Mus musculus: one gene and its partners. The protein of the gene in region 1 binds, or shares a complex with, the protein of each later gene. Links are inferred from orthologs where the notes say so. Each region holds a gene or a part of one and is shown on either strand. Other genes may lie near its edges.

What was found. The genes of interacting proteins can lie anywhere in the genome.
Region 2: the proteins of Gnai1 (region 1) and Gpr4 are in contact, whole or in part, in a cryo-EM structure (PDB 8Z9P), measured with the Homo sapiens proteins. The link is inferred for Mus musculus from reciprocal best matches to the Homo sapiens genes GNAI1 and GPR4. Residues at the interface, in NP_002060.4 of Homo sapiens: Lys192, Asp193, Leu194, Glu318, Tyr320, Thr340, Asp341, Ile343, Ile344, Lys345, Asn347, Leu348, Asp350, Cys351, Gly352, Leu353, Phe354; in NP_005273.1 of Homo sapiens: Asn50, Leu52, Arg115, Ala118, Val119, Pro122, Leu123, Arg124, Arg129, Tyr201, Ile204, Val208, Val212, Ser213, Thr214, Glu218, Lys221, Ile222, Leu225, Asn290.
Region 3: the proteins of Gnai1 (region 1) and C3ar1 are in contact, whole or in part, in a cryo-EM structure (PDB 9IPV), measured with the Homo sapiens proteins. The link is inferred for Mus musculus from reciprocal best matches to the Homo sapiens genes GNAI1 and C3AR1. Residues at the interface, in NP_002060.4 of Homo sapiens: Glu28, Ala31, Arg32, Glu33, Val34, Lys192, Asp193, Leu194, His195, Lys314, Asp315, Glu318, Tyr320, Lys330, Phe334, Phe336, Asp337, Ala338, Thr340, Asp341, Ile343, Ile344, Lys345, Asn347, Leu348, Asp350, Cys351, Gly352, Leu353, Phe354; in NP_001313404.1 of Homo sapiens: Asn57, Arg120, Val123, Val124, Pro127, Ile128, Gln131, Asn132, Asn135, Val136, Tyr356, Ile359, Arg362, Met363, Arg367, Phe368, Lys370, Gln372, Lys374, Thr375, Val378, Ala379, Leu438, Gly439.

What each region holds. Positions count from the first base shown.
Region 1 is NC_000071.6:18,267,025-18,275,535, reverse strand, and holds part of Gnai1 (guanine nucleotide-binding protein G(i) subunit alpha-1), read left to right. Parts: intron 1-1,960; coding exon 1,961-2,090; intron 2,091-3,556; coding exon 3,557-3,710; intron 3,711-8,326; coding exon 8,327-8,511. UniProt on the Homo sapiens protein: Guanine nucleotide-binding proteins (G proteins) function as transducers downstream of G protein-coupled receptors (GPCRs) in numerous signaling cascades.
Region 2 is NC_000073.6:19,216,533-19,222,537, reverse strand, and holds part of Gpr4 (G-protein coupled receptor 4), read right to left. Parts: intron 1,149-6,005; 5' UTR 384-1,148; coding exon 1-383. UniProt on the Homo sapiens protein: Proton-sensing G-protein coupled receptor activated by extracellular pH, which is required to monitor pH changes and generate adaptive reactions. Activated by an optimal pH of 6.8-7.2.
Region 3 is NC_000072.6:122,849,899-122,855,662, forward strand, and holds part of C3ar1 (C3a anaphylatoxin chemotactic receptor), read right to left. Parts: intron 1,367-5,764; 5' UTR 1,359-1,366; coding exon 1-1,358.

The sequences.
Region 1 (8,511 bases):
TTCTCTGCAGGCAAGCTCTCTTCTTGCAGGGCAGGTACCCAGATATCTGGTGTTCAAACCAGACTCCTGGCAGAAGTTGTGTTCCACTCACTAGAGGTCTTAGGATCTCGTGTGGAATCCTGTGTGGGCCCTTGCGGGTGTCAGGCGACTCCGCTGGCAAGGTAGCCCGGGGCTCGAGTGGAGCGGAAGGGGTTTGTGCCCCAGATCAAGCCCGGGTATCCTGCTTCCCTATGTACCGCAGTCTCAGGTTCCGCGCGATTGGATTGGGGCAGGCGCTATGTTCCACTCACCAGAGGTCTTAGGATCCCGTGGGGAGTCCCGTGTGGGCCCTTGCGGGTGTTGGGCAAGACTCTGCTGGCAAGGTAGCCTGGGGCTCGAGTCGAGCGGAAGGGACTTGTGCCCCAGATCAGGCCCGGGTAGCCTGCTTCCCTATGTACTGCAGTCTCAGGTTCCGCGCGATTGGATTGGGGCAGGCGCTGTGTTCCACTCACCAGAGGTCTTAGGATCCAGTGGGGAGTCCCGTGTGGGCCCTTGCGGGTGTTGGGCAAGACTCTGCTGGCAAGGTAGCCTGGGGCTCGAGTCGAGCGGAAGGGACTTGTCGTAACAGAGCTTTCTTAAGGTTATACTAAAACTCTATGAATTGTATTCCGAGGCAATTTAAGAAATGTTGATCTAATTAAATGGGTTTTCCCTTTGTTCTTGTTTGATCTCTCTTACGACGTGTCATTATCTTGACCACTCTGCTCTCTGTTCTCTTTCCAGCCAGTGCACTCTGATTTATGCTGTGGTAGGATCCTTTCGTTATAACATACTTTAGTGAGCGGCTTCCAGCCCAACCATAATGACAAAAGTAACAACCTTAGTGGACAAACTCAGATTTGGTTTGTAGGCCACTACTGCTCTGTGGGGAATTAAATAGGAATGGTTTTAATTAGTGTACCATCAAGATAAATGGGGCCTTTAAAACTGTGCCAGTTTACAGAGCGCTTCCATTATATAAGTGGTTATTTCTAGGCTGTATAATGTAGTCTATGCAAATTTAAACTTTTGCTTAACTTTATAAACTCTTGCCAGGAACAAGAAGAAAAGGTCATTGGCATTATGTTGTTTGATTGTGTCCCAGAACCTTGCACATTAGCCTCCAATTCCCCATAATTGTGCCTTATATAAAAATTGAGGAATTTTATTCTAAATTTCAAGCCCCTACCCCTTTCCATTTTATTCTGTAATCCACACAAACCTTTTGGCCCCTTTCTGAATTACTTTATTTCAGAACCGTTTTCTTACCTGTAATTGCTTTTTCTTTCCTCCAACATCTTGCTCTCTGTTTTAAGAGAACTCATTTCTTGGTTGAAATAGGGGAACCCTGTTGTGTAGCACTAATGCCTGGGACTGGCAAGTTCAGTATGCTTCTTTGATCTCTGGCTTCCTTCATTGCTTTGTAGGACTGTCAGTGGTGACAACAGTGTGATGCATTCATCTTCAGCTGCTGTGATGTCCCCAAGTGCTTTCATATGTTTGTTAATGGATGTCTATGCTTTTAAAAAATTAAATTTTCATTTGTTATTATTTGTTTATGTGTGTGTATGCACACAGGATATCACACATACACACATGCCACAGAGTGGGTGTGGAGAGGATCCAGGCGCTGAACTCAGGCTGCTAGGCGTTCTCTGGGCCATCTCAAGGACCCAGATGTGCTGTGTGTGGAGAGTACTTTTGATTTTGCTTTATAGTTACTCTAGCTGTAATCAAATGCTTAATAAGAATGATTTATTAACATTTTTCCCTTTGAGAAAATTAACTGGTAACATTTTTTTTCCTCCCACTATGTCCCTTTTCTCCTTTCTTCCCATCCCACAGCCTCCAAGCTATGTGAAACTTTTTTTTTTTGGCATTACAGAACTCGGAGCTTTTGAACATTTAATGTGGTGTCAAATCGTACATTTTCCTCTTACAGAATGTTTGACGTGGGAGGTCAGAGGTCAGAGCGGAAGAAGTGGATCCACTGCTTTGAAGGGGTGACCGCCATCATCTTCTGTGTGGCCCTGAGTGACTATGACCTGGTTCTTGCTGAAGATGAAGAAATGGCAAGTAGAAGCAGCTGTAGGGGTACAGCCTGAAATGTCCAGAGCTGCACACGTTGCCAAGACCTTAGCTGAGGAGCCTTGAGAAGTCCTTGCTCATGAACGAAGTATTTGCAAGTTCAATTTCTTTGCTTCAGCGCCTCTGCTGCAGCCCAGAGGGCACCGATGCTTAGAAGGCACAGGTGTTTCTCCATCCATCTACCTGGGAATTGCCTGCATCTGCCCAAAGGCTCATATTTCCCCATGAGTTACTCTGTCGGTCTATAATCTTCCTTATATGTTATACTTCTCTAGTTATAGAAAAACAATTTTCAAGTAACATCCAATAAATATACCATTACTCTAGGAAGTATTTTCTAATACATTGAAAACTCTGGCACTTATAAACATATGAAAATGATGGGCAGGTTTCAGGTTTTTCTAAATCAAGTTCATACCGTCATCAGTCATGGGGGGAAATGGGGCATAACATACATTTTTTGCATTTCCCCACTGTAAAACGTGTCAGTGTCCTCTTTGAACACAGCACGAAAGGATAGAAAACAAGAACTGGAAGTCATCTTCTCTAACATCCACTGTGCTGGGCTAATTGGATTTCAGCTCTCTCCATTTGACACAGTGCTCTTAAAGCTTCCACCTACCTCCTAAGCAAAGCTTAGATGGCCTGTGCAGCAGTGACATTTCCTCCATGTGTTCCCATGTGGACATCCCTTGACTGTGACATCCTATAGCTCTCAGGCATGAGCCAGTGATGTTTGAAAGACATTGAACAAGGTGCCCGCTAACATCTATGTTGTGCTTGTCCAGAAATGACAAAGAATGTAGTTAGTATTCTGGAATTATTATCAGCTCTAGAGCACAGATCTGACTAGATAGAAGCCACAACCACTGTACCTGGCCAACTGTCACCTGATAAGTCTAATTAGAAGATGCTGGCCAGGAAGAAGAGGGAAAAAAAATCATTCATTACAGCCTTCCTGGGAGAACAGGGTATCTGCACCCTAGGCTGTTGTTAGAAGCTGAGACGAGCAAAAGAAAAAGCCGGAAGCACTGGGTGTGCATGGTCCTAGTGTCTGGGTCGAACTGTGATCTGGTCACATTGTCACAGCCCTGGTTGTGCAGGGTCTCCAGCTGTTGTCTAGTATATTGTTGTTGCTTGAGGAGAGGGAAGGCATTCGGGTTTTTTCATCAGGAGTTAATTGCTTTCACCCCGGGGCCAGCTTCCCTTCCATCACAGGGAGTAAACCTTTAAGGCTCTTTCTTCTTCACTTTGAAATAAGCCAAAGTGACTCAGACAGAACAGGTTAGAGACAAAATTGGAGTTGAGACACCAACTGGGACATCCTTCAGGGTGTTACGTGCTTTTCAGCTGAAAGGATCTGGCAGTTGCCACATTTGTTCTTTTTAAAACAGATCCTCAGAAACTGCACTGTTCATGAAAATGATTTCTTTTTTTTTTTTAATTACAGAACCGTATGCACGAGAGCATGAAGCTGTTCGATAGCATCTGTAACAACAAGTGGTTTACAGACACGTCCATCATCCTTTTCCTCAACAAGAAGGACCTCTTCGAAGAAAAAATAAAAAAGAGCCCCCTCACGATATGCTACCCAGAATATGCAGGTATTTCACTCTCTTAGAGTAACCTAGCAAATCCTGTGCTTCTGAGTGAAATTCCCCCTATGGCAAGATTTGCAGGTGTTGGTTTGAATTTATTGATATGCTAATTCTTTCACTGGAGGGTGTCATACTTTTCAAACTGCATTTGAGCACAAATAGTCCCTTAAGGTGTGGAGAAGTTTTTCTGAACATCCCTGGTTTGCTTTGTGAAAAGGCTTGGAGGTAATTTCCAGAGATGTCTCCATGTCTCTGTAAATGTAAAGACTGACTTGTTAAAAAAAAATAACCAGATCACAGATTGGATAAACAAGATAAGATCTGTCTCTGCTCACTATCTTCTCTCAAACACATTCATGATAAACAATAGCAGTCACCCTGCTTCTAAGAGGGACCATGAATATTACTGTAAGAAGACAAGTGAAGAGGAGCCAGAGAGGCAGCCACTTCCTCCACGGTGCCAGGGAAACTTTGATAGGAAATCCAGGCCTTAATAGTGAGACTCTCATAGACAATGTACCTCTGTGAGTAAAGGCCTAGCTTTTACAAAATTTGGTCTGTGATCTCAAACAAAGCAGATACTTTATCTATGTTCCAGTGCCTCATCTATAAAATTAGGAACTGGGTTAAAACCTTGGTTTTAATTTGGTTTACTTCCTTGGAGCACATCCCAAGCTGATATTGAAAGCAAGTCTGGTGTTCACACTTATGAGCCCCAGTCTTGGGGGATGAAGAGGAACATCAGTACTTCAAGGCCATCCTGGTCTACATAGAACGTCCAAAGACAGATCAGGGTATATGAGAACCTGTTTCCAAAACAAAAAGTGAATACCAGGACCAGAGCTATCTATCCCCACACACCCTTCCAGTCCTCATATATAAGCAAAGTAAATTGGTTTTCATATATATATTTATATCCATCCTGTTTCTTTAAAATATAAGACTTTCACTGGTTTGTATGAACTCTAAATCTAAAATGTAAATGTTCTTAACCTTTTCCTCATTCTGTTTGAAAAAGCAAAAAATAATTCTCCAGAACTTCTCAAACTCTAAATAAAATTTGAGTCAATGCTGCACTGAACTGGTTGTTGGTGGGCATTGCGTGAATGCTGCTTCCAAGTTGACGCTGAGCAGCCTGTTGGCATTGGTTCTTGGATAGCCCTGCTCAGATATAGTCCATCTTGAGACCCCAGTGCACCACACATCTGCACCTAGGCCTGCACCAAGCAGTTAATTAGGGTCTCAGTGGAAGCAGAAAGGACTTGTTCCTTGGTAAACACAAGACTATTACATAATCATTTGATAGCCCAAGTGCTAAGATTATAATTTCAGATCTGCACTACTTGCTCTAAGAATTGGTTCCGTTGCTTCCTGCATCACCATGAGCACTTGGTTCTTACGACTATGAGCCTTTATGTTTTATGGATAAACCCTGTGTAGCCCCCACCTGCTTGGGTGTATCCTGCCTCTGTCTGCTGACTTGCAAAGCACCTCCTCCTTCTTCATTGTAAGTTGCCATTTCACCGGGATCCATTTCCAGTCCTTTCATGGTCATGCTGGCTGTTGAATTGTGTTGTCAGACCCTGAACATCCCTCTGCAGCCCCTTGCCTCTGTTTCCAACTGTTTCTTGAATGTGGTTTTTAGCACTGAAGCATAAGCCAAGCTAATCTCTCCTTCTCCTTTGACTGTCTCATAAAGTTTCCAGTTTTGAAGTTGCCCTCACTCAATCATATATTCTTTCAGGAAAGTTCCCATGGTAGACAGTACCTATGCTCCCACCATGAATGTGTACACACTGAAACACATATATGCCCCCCCCCACACACACACACACACTTTGTTCTTGTTCAGACTGAAAGTCAGATCAAAGAATGTGTTCACCAGTTTATTCATGGATCTGGAAGCCCCTGGGGCACAGTCATTTAGCTACTCAGAATGTGTATTGCCTATGAGTACTGTACCCAGTACAAATTACTTCACACAAACGCCTTTGTAATTAATTTAGGAGTTATATTCTAATTGCTTCTTTAACCGAACAAGACATTGCATACAAATTTTAGAGCACTGAATGATTGGATTTTTAAAGGCTTATTATTACATAAAACAATTAAAGTAGAAACTCAGTGACGGTGGTTGTATCATTCATGCTGTCTAGCACACTAAACACAACTTCTCTCTGGGCCTTGTCATGTGGCATTTCCCATGCGTTGCATGGTATTTTTATGTATGGTGTGATAACAATGGGTAGGGTTGGCAGGATAGAGTCATTAGAGTCTATCTCAGGATGTGTAATGGTGAAGAAGAATTGAGATCCAGCAAAACATGTAAGAAAACATACAACAAAGCTGAGATACTGTTTGTATTATCTGTCAGAGTTTCTTGTTTTGCGTTGTTTTGTTTTTTAAAGTGGTACAGAACCCATCTGGGTTTGGTTAGTTAGCTGCATATGTATCAAAAGATGGCCTAGTCGGCCATCACTGCAAAGAGAGGCCCATTGGACTTGCAAACTTTATATGCCCCAGTACAGGGGAACACCAGGGCCAAAAAGGGGGAGTGGGTGGGTAGGGGATTGGGGGTGGGTGGGTATGGGGGACCTTTGGGATAGCATTGAAAATGTAAACGAGGAAAATACCTAATTAAAAAAAAAAAAGATGTGGAAAGAGTGAACATCTTGGATGGTGGTGGACTGCAGAGAAGCAGTGCTGTAGAACACAGCAGCACTTTGTATCCTGAGTTGTCATGGTAAACGCTGAGACCCAGTTGTGGAACAGAGCACCTCAGAGCAGAAGCGGGGAGCACAAAGAATCCTGAAAGGCACATGAGTCATTTGGGTTATTATAAAAGAGGGATTTAATAGATTTTTTCTGTTATATGCCATATAATATTTTCTAACAGTATCAAGTGGACAAATATGCAGTTAGCTCTAGTATGAAACATGTTTAGAAAACCACAAACAATCAAATACAGAATTGTGGGGTCCAGCTCCAATTCATGCATCTGTGAATTAGCTCCTGCATCTAAGGCCTGGGGAATGACATGGAAGTGGAGGCAGAACGACTGTAAGAGCCAGAAGATTAGAGTTGGATGTGAGAGTGTATCTCACAGTAATGTCAGAAGCTACGTACAGAGTCTCACATGACTGCCTAGGCATGAGCTAAACAAGGACAACACCAATAGACATCCCAGAGTAGATGAGAGAAAATCCAAGAGGCCTCAATTCTACTCAAAGAGTGACAGACAAATCAGAGATGTGAGAGCAGAAACTTCTCAGGGAGGAGCGCACCAGGTTTCTATCCAATACCTTGGTGAGCCCTGAGAATGCCCACATAAACAACCTGAAACACACTGAGCAGGTTGGAGCTTTGTACACATACTTGTACATGGAGCAGCAGTCAATGAAAAAGGCTGTGAATTTGAAAGAGAGCAAGGAAGGCTATTTGATAGGTGTTCCAAGGCAGGCAAGGAAATGAAAAATGAAGTGATTCTGTTATAATCTCAAAAAGTAAAAAAAAAAAAAAAAAAACACACACACAGACAAAAACCCCCACCAAAAAAAAAAAAAAAAAAAAAAAAAAGCTTATAAAAAGAAAAGGAGGGAAATGAACACACAAACAGGACCAAGTGGCCCTTTATTGCCTGAATCCAGAAACTGAACTTTCCCATCACCCCGAAAGCTCTCCCACCCTCTTTCAGTCTCACCTGATTCATCCCCTGCCCTCATCCCCCTGAAAAATGATCATTAGAGCGGCTGATTTCCTTTTCATTGGTTGGCAACAACAGCTGGGTCACATGTGGTGCATCCGTGTTTATGTTTGGCTCCTTGGGTCCAGAAGAGGATTCAAAGTCCTTGTTTCTGAATGGCAGCTAATGATCTGATTCTCCCAGATTGTCCCTGTCAGTGACAGTGCATGGACTTGCAGGATATTTCCCAACGTAGAAGGCCATGCTGTGCTCTAGCAGCCTTTGGGACTCTTCTCTGACCACAGCACAGTCCTCAAGCCTGCAGCTCAGCATTGGGTCTCTGGGTCAGAGTGTGTGCACGTATCCTCAGGTTCTGCCACCCCATTTCTGAACTGTTCTTACTCGGAGCCAGTCTCTACCCCCTCAAGTAAAAGCTGGATGACCCTCCCCACCCCATTTTTCTCTTTCGATAACTTCATAGCCCTTAACCATATTCCAGATATGAACAAAAAATAATTGTGAAAGGATAATTAATGAGTGAATATGGAGGGAGAGAAGGAAGCATTTGACAGGCATTATTGATTTGCCCTGGGGTTAGCACAGTAACAGTGGGCCAACCTTAGGGTTAGGTGGCTTGAATTCTCCAGCTTAGGGATGTAGAAGAAAGAGTGTGGTAGATAAGAAAGTCTGACTCTTGGAGATTTAAACAGGAACAGCAAACATAGACAACAGAATCTTTAGGTTTAAAGACGGCCTGTAAAGATTAGTTTATGTATGGTATTTTTCATTTGGAAAGAGGTTCATTTTGCTCGAGAAGGGAGAGGGCAGTTATGGAGTCCCTCTATTTTATATGCAGAAAACTGACTATATGTGTTTTAAAGTGTCTTTTACTCAGACAAGTTTAAGTTCTTGCATGCTTCTTTCCTTTGTCCCATCTCAGGCTCAAACACATATGAAGAAGCGGCCGCGTATATTCAGTGTCAGTTTGAAGACCTCAATAAAAGGAAGGACACAAAGGAAATTTACACCCACTTCACGTGCGCCACAGATACGAAGAACGTGCAGTTCGTGTTCGATGCTGTAACAGACGTCATCATAAAGAATAACCTAAAAGACTGTGGTCTC
Region 2 (6,005 bases), on another chromosome or scaffold:
GCAAAGCGCAGAGGATGAGCCACAGCCAGGTAGCGGTCCACGGAGATGCAGCACAGGAAGGCGATGCTGATATAGATGTTGCTGTAGAAGATGAAGCCAAAGAGCTTGCAGGAGCCAGGGCCGTGGATCCAGTTGTCATGGTGGAGGAAGTAGTCGACCCACAGCGGCAAAGTGCAGATGTACAGCAGGTCTGCAATGCTCAAGTTCATCAGGTAGACGCCCAGCTCATTGTGTTGGCGCACCTGCCGGTAGGCTGCCCACAGGGCCAGGCAGTTGGTGGGCAGCCCCACCCCGATGACGAAGATGTAGAGAGATGGTGGGAAGAGGTGGTCCACTCGAGAGTCCACATGGCAGCCCTCCCCTGTGCCCGTGCTGTTGTCCATCCTGGGCGATGGGGCTTCCCAGGAGCTTCCCCTGGCCCGCTGGGGCTACAGGGCCACGGGGGGCGGGAGGCCATCAGGCCCCCTGAGCCCCCTCTTTGGAGGCTCAGGGGAACATCACAGGAGACAGTTCACGAGGACTGAGGTCTGGGTTTGCTTTGTGGCAGGCTAAGCAAAGGGAGGACTTGAGAGGAAGAGTGTCAAGGGATGATGAAGGTAAGGATAAGAGGTGGAACTAATGTCAATGGGCTATCTACACAACCAGAGCACAAAGATGGCACCAGAAAAAAAAAGGTCAAGGCAGTGTTTACAGAGGAGATGAAGACACCAGCGGTGTCATGCTTATTGAAATCTTAGGAAGTCAATATGGACATGGTGAAGTACCAATGGGATGGAATGTTCTAGAAGACTAAGGAAAGACATGGGAGCATGGAGAGAAGTCACAGAGTTGGCAAGATGCAATTTTAAGAGTGCTGGCATCTGCTAGGACACCAGCTGGAAAGAGAACTATGTAAAGTCACCAAAGCAGGAAAAAAAATGAGGTGTCCTCTGGGGACAGACAAAGAGGAAGGACTTGTAAAGGCTGGTGACTGTGGGAAGGGATGCTAGGAAACAGGAAGGTGAGTAAGTGGTGGAGCACAGGATTGTGTGTAGGAGGGGGACTCTGAAGGGGGTTCCAGGAGACTCAGAGTTGATCCTGGTGGAGACTGAGGAGTGGAGATGAAGTTGTTCCACTCACGACTGCATTGAGAGCTGAGATTGCTAGGCCTGAGGGGAGAAAACACATTAGAGAAACTGGCATGGATGTCCATACTGACCTCCCCAGTACCTTCCGTTATTACTGTGGAAGACAGAGGAACACCCCAACAAAGCCTGCTTGAGTATCACCCCAAGGAAGAGATGTCTAAGAGCATGGGGTTGAGGGTGCCAGGCAATAGACGGGCTTTCCAAATACAAGTTAAAGATACAACGGGGGCTGGAGAGATGGCTCAGCGGTTAAGAGCACTGACTGACTGCTCTTCTGAAGGTCCTGAGTTCAAATCCCAGCAACCACATGGTGGCTCACAACCATCTGTACAGCTATAGTGTACTGGTATACATAAAATAAATAAATAAATCTTTAAAAAAAACCCAACAACAAAAACCCAACAGGTTGGCACGTGTCTTTGAACCCAGAAGGTGGAGGCTGGAGAATCAAAATCATCCTCCAGTGCACCTTGGGTTGGAAGCTGTGAAAACCTGTTTCTAAGTAAGCAATGGATGGTGAGCGGTGTGGAGATGGCTCAGTGGGGAAAGGAGCTTGCAGCCAAGCTTTACAACCTGAGTTTGATTCCAGGAGTTCACACCATGGAAGAAAGGAACCAATTCTATAGGTTGTCCCCTGACTCCTGCATGTATAACATAGTAAGCAGAAGCACTCACATGCGTGCGCGTGAACATACACACCACACTCATACATTCACATACAGAAAGAAACAGCAGATTCAGAGATTTAACAAACTGAAGCAGTGGACCACTCAGATCTGTCCAAGGTCCTGATGCCCAAGGTGGGAAATCTCTGCCCTCAGTCCCCTTTCCCAAACAGCCCATTTCCCAGAGCCCCACGGCCATAAAAGGGCCTCGGGGTTGACAGTGGGACAGAGCAGGAGCTGTTAGACTCTGAAAAGGAGCCTGGGGTTGGTGCCAGCAGTGGGAGAAGCCCTCACAGGCTTCCCTCTCCTTTCCCACTGTCCAGTGAGGTCCCAGAACCCTTATTCTGAGAAGATCTACAAGTTTAAAGCAAAGAACACCCCAAAAGATAGAGGAGGGCTGGAGAGATGGCTCAGCGGTTAAGAGCACTGACTGTTCTTCCAGAAGACCTGAGTTCAAATCCTAGCAACCACATGGTGGCGCACAACCATTTGTAATGGGACCTGATGCCCTCTTCCAATGTGTCTGAAGTCAGCTACAGTGCACTCATATACATAAAATAAATCTTTAAAAAAAAAGGTAGAGAACAATCATGCCCCAAACCCCTCACCTGATGACTGGAGGGTCTGTATATATTTAGTTTACTCGGATATAAACCAATCTTGCTCCCTCTCTCATGTAGTCCAGGCTGGCTTTGAACCTGGCATGTAATTGAGGATGACCTCAATGCTTCAGCCTTGTGAGTATTGGGATGCCAGGAGTGCTCCACCATGCACAGTTTACACAGAGCTTGGATTGTTATCCTGGGTCCCATGCATTCAAGGAAGGTGCTGTAACAACTGAGCCACATCCCCTACATATGTTGGTTGGCTTGATGAATTTTTGTGGCTGGATCTTACTATGTAGCCCAGACTTTTCTGAAACTTGTGAGCATCCTTGCTTCCTAAATGGTGAGACTATAGGCAGGCACCACTAGACCCAGCTTCAAAGCATTTTAAACTCAGGAGGCAAGCTGATATCTGCAGTTGAGGCTAGCCTGTTCACAGAGTAAGTTTCAGGACAGTCAGGACTACAAAGAGGCTTATTTTGAAGGAAAAATAAAGAGAAAGAAAGAAACCCATACAAACAAACAAGATCATACTTGGAAATCCAGTCTAAGACAATGAACAGAGAAAGTGCCACGCAGTCTGGAGAAAAGACACAGAGACTGGGAAGCCACCTCTTAAAAATCCCCAGAACACACTTAAAAGCCCAAGAAGTTGCTTGCTGCTAAGCATCACGCCCTGATTTTATTCCCAATACCCACATGCCAAAAGGAGAAAACTCACTCCCAGAAGTTGTTCTCCACACACATACCAGGGCAATAAATAAATAAATAAGTGTAATTTAAGAGAGAGAAAAGCGAGAGAGGGAGACAGACAGACAGACTGGTTAAAGCATACTAGACAAATGAGGAAATTATAGTCCAGAAAGGGGAAGGGATAAACCTGGAGTCACACAGTAAGCCTAAGAAACTCAAGTCTTTCTTCTTCCCAAGGAAAGTCCTTCCTGCTTTATCTTCAGATAGACCCTGTGTCACTAATCCCTCTCTTGCTGTATGTTACCATCACTGCTCAGGGGCTGTGACAGCATCTGCTCTATCATTCTGCCTCCCTCAATTAACTACAAACAGAGCAATCAGGAGACCTTCTAGGGGAATCTGCTCTTGTTCTTTTCTTCTTGAACTTCCAAAGGCTTCCAAGAGTCCCCCTATCTAGAATTTCCCAGTGAGGAGCTGGGGGCGTGGCTCAGTGGTAGAGCCCCTGCCTAGAATCCCCCAGTGAGGGACTGGGGGTGTGGCTCAGTGGTAGAGCCCCTGCCTAGAATCCCTCAGTGAGGGGCTTGGGGTGTGGCTCAGTGGCAGAGCCCTTGATTACCATGTGCAGGCCCTAGGTCCTTTCTGCATTATTGCAAAACAAAATGAATAGACTTGCCAGAAAATGAAAGCTCCTGGTACCCGGTGACAGGTCCCAGGCCTCTTCCCAGCTAGCCTGTGCTGATTGCCTACTCCTCCTTTCAGCAATCTCCAATCCAGTGAGCTTCTTTCAGTACTCATTCCTCCACACTCTCTCCCTGACTGGCCTATGGTGTCTTCAGCTCCTCTTCCATGTCCTTTTTCACTCCTACCCACCACTCCTACAACCATCTCACAGCACTGTGTTTGTAGCCTGTTGCCTTCTGTCTGTCTGTAACTTCTTCGGGGACAGGAACCTTGAGTGTCAAGTGGGCTGTTGTATTACTCATGTGAGGGACAGTCCTTGCATACAGTAGGTGCTTAACAAGTGCCTGGGTATAGAAGTCATTCCAGAAGCCTAGAGGCTGGGAGAGCCCGCCCAGTGCTTCTCCCACTGGCTGTCCCTTGCCTCCTCCCAGACTCTACCCCAGGCATCAACAAGCCCTGGGGAGCCTGGGGGAAGAGGCTGCAAGCTGCGAGGAGATTAAAGTGCAGGACCCATCTGCTTCCTGATTGACTTGGAAAGGTCAGGCCTGTCCTGATCCCTAAGGCCAGCACCCTGTGGGGAGTCTTTAGACACCTACCATCCCACCCCAGAGCTGGAAACTTCTGGATCCCTTGGAGATGGAATAGGAGGGACTTGTTCCTGGGTAAACCAATGGGAGCCAACCCAGCCTACCATCAATCAAAACCTCTGATCCAGACCAAGTCTTTCCCCTAGTGTCTGTTTCCTCTTTGCCCACCCCCCTCTCTGCTGGCGTGCTCTCTGCTCTCTCTCTCTCTGTCTCCCGCCCTCTTCCTCCCCCCCCCCCTTTTCCTTCAGAAGCCTTAACTTCTGCAAAAGAAGGGTATTGTCTCTACCCTAATCACATCACACATGAAAATCTTTGGTAAAATGAAGCATCTTCAGTCACATATTCAGTATCTGGGCCTGGGGATGCAGCTTACTGATAGAATGCTTACCTAGAGTCTAACAGTGGGTGCTGGGGTGTGGCTCAGCAGAAGAGTGCTTCTCTAGCAGGCACGAGGTCCTGAGTTCAATCTCTCTTACCACAAAAAGGGAACAGAAGGCTAAAAAGAGTGCCAGACACATAGCTCAGTTCATGAAGTATTCGCTTAACAAGCACGGAGCCCTGGGTTGTATCCCCAACACTTCATAAATCAGTCGCATTGGCCCAGGCCTATGATCCCAACAGGTTAGCCTGGGATAAATGAGACCCCGTCTCAAAATTTAAAGAGAAAGAAAGAAAGAAAGAAAGAAAGAAAGAAAGAAAGAAAGAAGGAAGGAAGGAAGGAAGGAAGGAAGGAAGGAAGGAAGGAAAGAAAGAAAGAAAAAGAAAGAAAGAAAGAAAGAGAAAGAAGGAAAGAAAGAAGGAAAGAAAGAAGGAAAGAAAGAAGGAAAGAAAGAAGGAAAGAAAGAAAGAAGGAAAGAAAGAAAGAAAGAAAGAAAGAAAGAAAGAAAGAAAGAAAGAAAGAAAGAAAGAAAGAAGGAAGGAAGAAAGGGTGTAATGGGCTGAGGATATGACTCAGCGTGTAAGCGACTGCTGTGCAAGGTGAGGGAGCACCTGCCTTCAGATCCTCAGCACCCACATAAAAACCCATGAGAGAGAGCTGGCTGCCCCCTGGAGCTCCCTTCTGTGGCCCCCCGGGCCCTGTTGAGACTGGAACAGGTACACAGGCAGCAAAGACATTCCTGCAGCCAACGGAAATGAACTTCCCACTGCCAATTTCCTCTCAGGGAACAGAGTCTGGCATCTACCCTGTCCTCAGCCTACCTGAGTCATGAGGATGCTAGACGTGGGGCAGAGAGGCAGTGACAGACAGACAGACAGGACATCAAACTGACCTTTCTTCTTCCTACCTGACATTTGACTACCACCACAAAACCCCCACCCCAGCCCCAGCCATCATAGAACCTCTGATTCTTAGAATTCCATGATACAGGTTTACATAGTGTGGGAACAGGAAGCTATTTTTTCCCAGGCCATATAGGGAATCTGAGGTCCAGAGAGGAAGGGCTGTTATTCACTATCTGAGATGAACAGTATCTCCTTTCCCGGTGTTTCTTTCCTTTCATTCCTGTCCTAATGTCTTTCTAGGGGCTTCAAACCCCTTTGAGAGTCTGCTAAAAATCAGAAATTGTTATTTATGTATTTTTCAAGACAGAGTTTTTCTGTGTAGTCCTGGCTGAGCTGGAACTCACCCTGTAGATCAGGCTGACC
Region 3 (5,764 bases), on another chromosome or scaffold:
TCGCTGAAGGCTGCTTCCAGAATGCCCTTTATAGACTGTCTTGCTTTCTTCCTAAAGTCTTTCCCCAAGAGGGCATACAGGAAAGGGTTGAAGCAACTATTGGCAGATGCTAAAGCAATGGACATGTGGTCCCAGGACATCACAGCTTCCCCCAAGGAACTTTCTGGATCAGTAATCAATAGCAGGACTCCGACAAGATGGTATGGAGTCCAGCAGATAAAAAAGACAGTGACCACAGCCACAGCCACCCGAAAGGTTTTGTTCCGAGACTTGGTGAAGTTGGTTTTTCGCATTCTGAAGACGATGAGGCTGTAACAAATTACCATGATGAAAAACGGCACCAGGAAGCCCACCACCAGCCTTGTGATGGTTATTGCCATCAGCGGTGTCGGCACATGATTGTCATACGTGAATTGGTCAACATAATCCCCCTGGAAATCATAGGGGTATAAATGACCACTAGAAGCAGTAGGGAAAAGTTCTGTGTGAGCAGAGAGAAAAGCGTCAGCGTTCAGTGTATTGGATTTACGATCTTCAACAGGAAACCCGCTGGGTACGGCGGCTGTGAGGACATTAGGAGGCTTTCCACCATAATGGGGTTGTTGGTTTGCTGAATCTAGAGAGAATGAGTCTTCAGGAGATGTTAGGAATGGCTGTGACTGGAGGGCAGTGGTAACTGTCCAAAAGTAATCCCTTGCCTGTACAGAGGAAGGAGCTGACCTGTCATTCATATGTCCAGTTAGCTGAGCAGTGGAGTTATCAGTAGAATTGCTTTCTGGTAGACTTAGTTTGTACACGTAGTCCCAATAATCATATGACCTGGAGGAATCAAAATTATATCTACATATACTGCGATTGTCCATAATGAACAGATCACGGTATACAAATACGGGCACACACATCACAAAGGCTACCACCCAGACACATCCACAGATGGCGAAGGCGGTTCTCACGTTTCGATGATTCTGGCACCAGATTGGCTTATGTACTATCAGACATCGGTCCAGGCTAATGGCAGTAAGCAGGAAGACACTGGCAAACATGTTGAGAATAATGATGGATGGGATAAGTTTGCACAGGAACAAGCCATAGGGCCAGTGTCCTTGGAGAATCAGGTGAGCCAAGGAGAAGGGCAAGGAGAGGCAGCAGAGGAAATCGGCCAGGGTGAGATGGAGGAACCAGACTGTGTTCACGGTCGTCTTCATCTTTACGCCAGCTACCCACAGCACCAGCCCATTGCCTAGCAGTCCCAATAGACAAGTGAGACCAAGAATGACCATGGAGGCAATGTCTTGGGGTTGAAACAGAGGCCGTGAGTGTAGGTCAGTTGAATTGGTGTCAGCATCGAAAGACTCCATGGCTCAGTCTGCGAAATGACAAAGAAGATGTTAAAGCTCATGGTGAATTTATAAAAGTATGTGCTTTTAGGAGTCTTATGTGATGGTACACCCTCTCAAAGCCAGAGGCCCCCCTCACAGAACCTCGTTAGCACTCCTTCCTCAGAATAGACACATTTTCTGATAGACAGTTTCAGGTCTATGCTATTGATTTAAATAGGTATCTAAAAGGTAACTTTATTTGGAAGTCCACATCAGCTTAAATTCCACCCCCCTACACTTTATTTTACACCTCCCTACTTCTGTTGTTTGAGGTTTTTTTTTTGCAGTACGCACCCTGGGCAGCTCTCTGCTACTGAGATTCGGGCTTACCCAGTGGCTTTCGGCACAGGCTCTCCATGTTGTCTAAGCTGGCTGACTTCCAACTGACTATATTGTAGAAGAGGCTGACTGGAAGCTATGATTCTCCTGCCTCCGTCTTCTGAGTGCTGGCCGGACAGGCATTGCTACCAAGCATTGCCGTGCTACGTTCTGCTCAGTGTCTGCTGCCCAAACTGAATAGATGCCTCAGTGAGAAAATATACAAAAACTTGTGGGCAGACTCTCCCTGATCTGGCATCATTGGAGGACTTTCCAAAACTTTAGCACACCAACAATAGCATATAAAAGCTGAGAACTGCATATTTTCATTAATTAGTTGACAAAGTATGTGTGTGTGTGTGTGTGTGTGTATGTGTGTGCGTGCGCGCACACGCGTGCACATGTGTGCATGGAGGTCAAAGGGTGACTTTTGGGACTTAGTTTTAGCATGCACTTATTAGCTGGCCCTCAAGGATTCCTTCATTCATCTTTTGCATGTATATATACATTTTAAAAACAAAATTTAGTGGGTTTCAATTATATCATGCATATTTAAAAATTGATGGTGATAAAATACATATGTAGCATAAAGTCAGCCTTTTTAATTGACCATTTCCAGTGCACAGTTCAGCAGTACTTGCCCTAGTCACTTTGAATGCAACTGACTTCCAAAATGTTCTCATCTAATAAAAAAACATGCATGCATAGGTACACACACATATGTATATTTGTTTTGTTTTTCAGGACAGGGTTTCTCTGTGTAGCCTTGGCTGTCCTAGAACCTGCTCTGTAAATTAGGCTGACCCCAAACTCAGAGATCTGCCTGCCTCTGCCTCCCGTGGGCTGGGATTAAAGGTGTGCTCCACCACTGCCCATCTGAAATTGATATTTTAGTGTGTGTGTGTGTGTGTGTGTGTGTGTGTGTGTGAAGCATATTTTGTTTATAAAGTGATCTAACTACAGACATTGGATTGCTTTTACCTAATTTAGGGCATTTAAATAGTATATTATCTGCTTTCTATTGCTGTGATAAAGACTGACCAAAAAGCAACTTGGACAGGAAAGGGTTTATTTCCTACATATTCCAGGTCAGAGCCAAGGCAGGGAGGGACTCGAAGGTAGAAACTGAAGCAGAGGCCACAGAGGAATGCTATTCACTGGGTAGCATCTCATGTCTACCCACACTGCCTTCTTCAAAGTATCCCAGGACCTGCCCAGAGAGAACACTGGGCTTGACCCTCCCAAGTCAATGTTAACCAAGAAAATGACCCACAGCCTTGTCTACAAGCCAATCTGGTGGAGGCACTTTCTCAATCGAGGTTCCTCTTTCCAGAAACTCTGGCTAGTAGCAAGTTTACAAGAAAGCCACCAAGGGTGGCAGTTGTGGACCTAGCACATAGTACTCTCTAAACTTGCTGTTTCAACTCAAGTCCCCACTTTTAACTTTTAACTTAAGGAAGATTCAATGTAAGGAATACCAAGTTTTCATCCAATTTTTTTTCCAACTTTGGGCGCTTATTGCTCTGAACAGTCATTCTTTTTAGTTTGTTTGTTTGAGGCAGGGTTTCTCTGTGTAGCCCTGACTTTCCTGAAATTCCCTCTGTAGACCAGGCTGGCCTCAAACTCTTGCCTCTGCCGCCTGAGAGAGGGGCTTAAAGGTGTGTGTCACCAAGCCCATCTTGAACAATCATTCTTAATTCTCTCCTTCATGGTTTGGGGTTATTTCGTCTTCTGCTCTTATTATTCTGCTAAAATTGCATCTAGAACCCAAAGCCAGACGGACTTCTCTATCTTCTACAGTGAAGTTCTCTGCAGTCTGCCCTCCTGGTCGGTGAGATCCTTCCCTAGTTCTGAGCACTCGGACAAATGCATCCTTTCTGCCCACGTCTCATCCCTTCAGATCAATGCTGCTTTATATTCCTAAGCAGGGCTAATGGTTTCCACTTAGAAATACGCCCCTAGAATGGCTTCTTCCATGCCCTACACTAAAATTCTACCCATTAAAATACTTACTCCTCAAGGTTAACCTCAATGCACTATATCTAAAACAGTCTCTTATAATCCTCGAAGAAACTGATTCTTTGGTCTCTCACTTGTACATGTGTGTGCTGACTCATGTACATGAATGTAGAAGTGTGTGGTTGATTTTTTTCTGACATGTCCTATGAGGAGGCACATGTAATCTTAGGTTGTAATTTTTATAGTGGCCCTAAACTGTGTGATGGTAAAGACAAGACCTGTTTACAAATGCCTCTTCCATATCATTTAGCATATGGATCAAGGGTCACTTTTTTTTTCTTTTGTTTTTTTCTGAGATGAAGTTAGATTATATAGACCAGGCTGGCCTCAAACTGGAGATCTTCTGCCTCAGTCTACCAAATGTTGGGATTACAACGCATGTACCCCCACGGCCAGGGGGATGCTTACCTTTCGGGTTTAATTTTTTCATTTTCAATTACATTAAAAATATTAGTCTTTAGCCATTTTATTTTTTTCCCATATGGCTTCTTAATTCCTATGCTGTCTCTTCTAAATTTCTCTCTTGATTTTAAATTCCCAAACATTACTGGATGTAGTAACAGTTTATATCTTTAAAAATGATTAATTTTCATTTTATGTGTGTTGCTGTTTTGCTTGCATGCGTGTCTGTGGGATGGTGTCAGATTTCCTGGAACTGGAGTTACAGACAGTTGTGAGCTGCCATGTAGGTGCTGGGACTTGAACCCTGGTAGAGCAGGGTTCTGGAAGCGCAGCCACTGCTCCCAACCACCGATCATCTCTTCAGCCTCCTCCATTTTTATTTATTTGATTTGATTTGATTTTTTGGTTTGCTTGTTTTTAAATGGAAGCTGGGACATTTGGAAGCGATTCTGCTGAACTTGACAAAAGTTTGTGACAAGTCTTATGCGGTAAGCAGAAGTTAGGATAACAACAGAATAAGAAGAAAAGGAGAAACGATACCCACTCTGGTCTCTGTCTTTTTCAAGTCCTACCATTCCCTTATGTGAACGGCAAGAACTCGGATCTAGTGTCCCATTCCAACCTCAATGCGTACCATCCTAAGATGCTGAGAGCAAAGCCCACCCAGAGACTGCTAGGAACAGAGCAACCCACAGACATCCCTCGCTGTGCAGCTTTTGATGCTGAGATTCTGGAGATGACGTGGCTTTCACGTGACCGCAGCCGGGGAGAGCCCCAGCTACTCACCTAATAACGCCTAGGTTACTGTTCTTTTTTACTGCAGGGATCACATGACTGAGAAACTGTGGTCTCGATAATAAAGTGGACATAGCGATTTAAAATAACAGAAGTTGAAAGGAAAACATTCCAATGTAAGAGCAACTGAGTTCCGTGCTGTGAGGAATAGTTTAAATATCACAAATGATCTTCCTTGAAAGCTCACACCCTAAAAGTCATCCAGGACAAGACCACATTACATTTCCCCAAGTTCTGAGCAACCCCCCCCCAAAACCAAACCAAACAAAAACCCTCTATGTTTAAGTTTTTTATAAAGATTTCAGGATTGAGTTGGCCAGAGTAATTAAAAAAAAACCTGAAACTAAAATGTATTTATGATGAGTAAAAATTAGATTTAAATATCAAATAATAATTATGGAATGATAGAACCAGCTATTTTGATAAGGAATAGCTCAAAGAACGGGAGAGTTACAGAGAGCAACAGAAGAAGAATCCACATATGGGCATATATATATGTGTGTGTGTGTGTGTGTGTGTGTGTGTATATATACATAAAAATAAATGTGTGTACATGTGATCAATGATTACAGAAGCAAAACTAAGGGAAGAAAACATGATCTATAATCTAGGGGAATAAATAACATAAATTCATTATTATTTTCAGAATGAAAATATTAAAAGCCAAGATAAATAGAATGTATAGTATTTACATAAAAATAAAAGTAGACATGGAGATAAGACAGGAGAAATAAAAATTTGGGAAAGTTGGGAGGCAGAGACAGGCGGATTTCTGAGTTCAAGGCCAGCCTGGTCTACAAAGTGAGTTCCAGGATAGTCAGGGCTACACAGAGAAACCCTGTCTCGAAAAA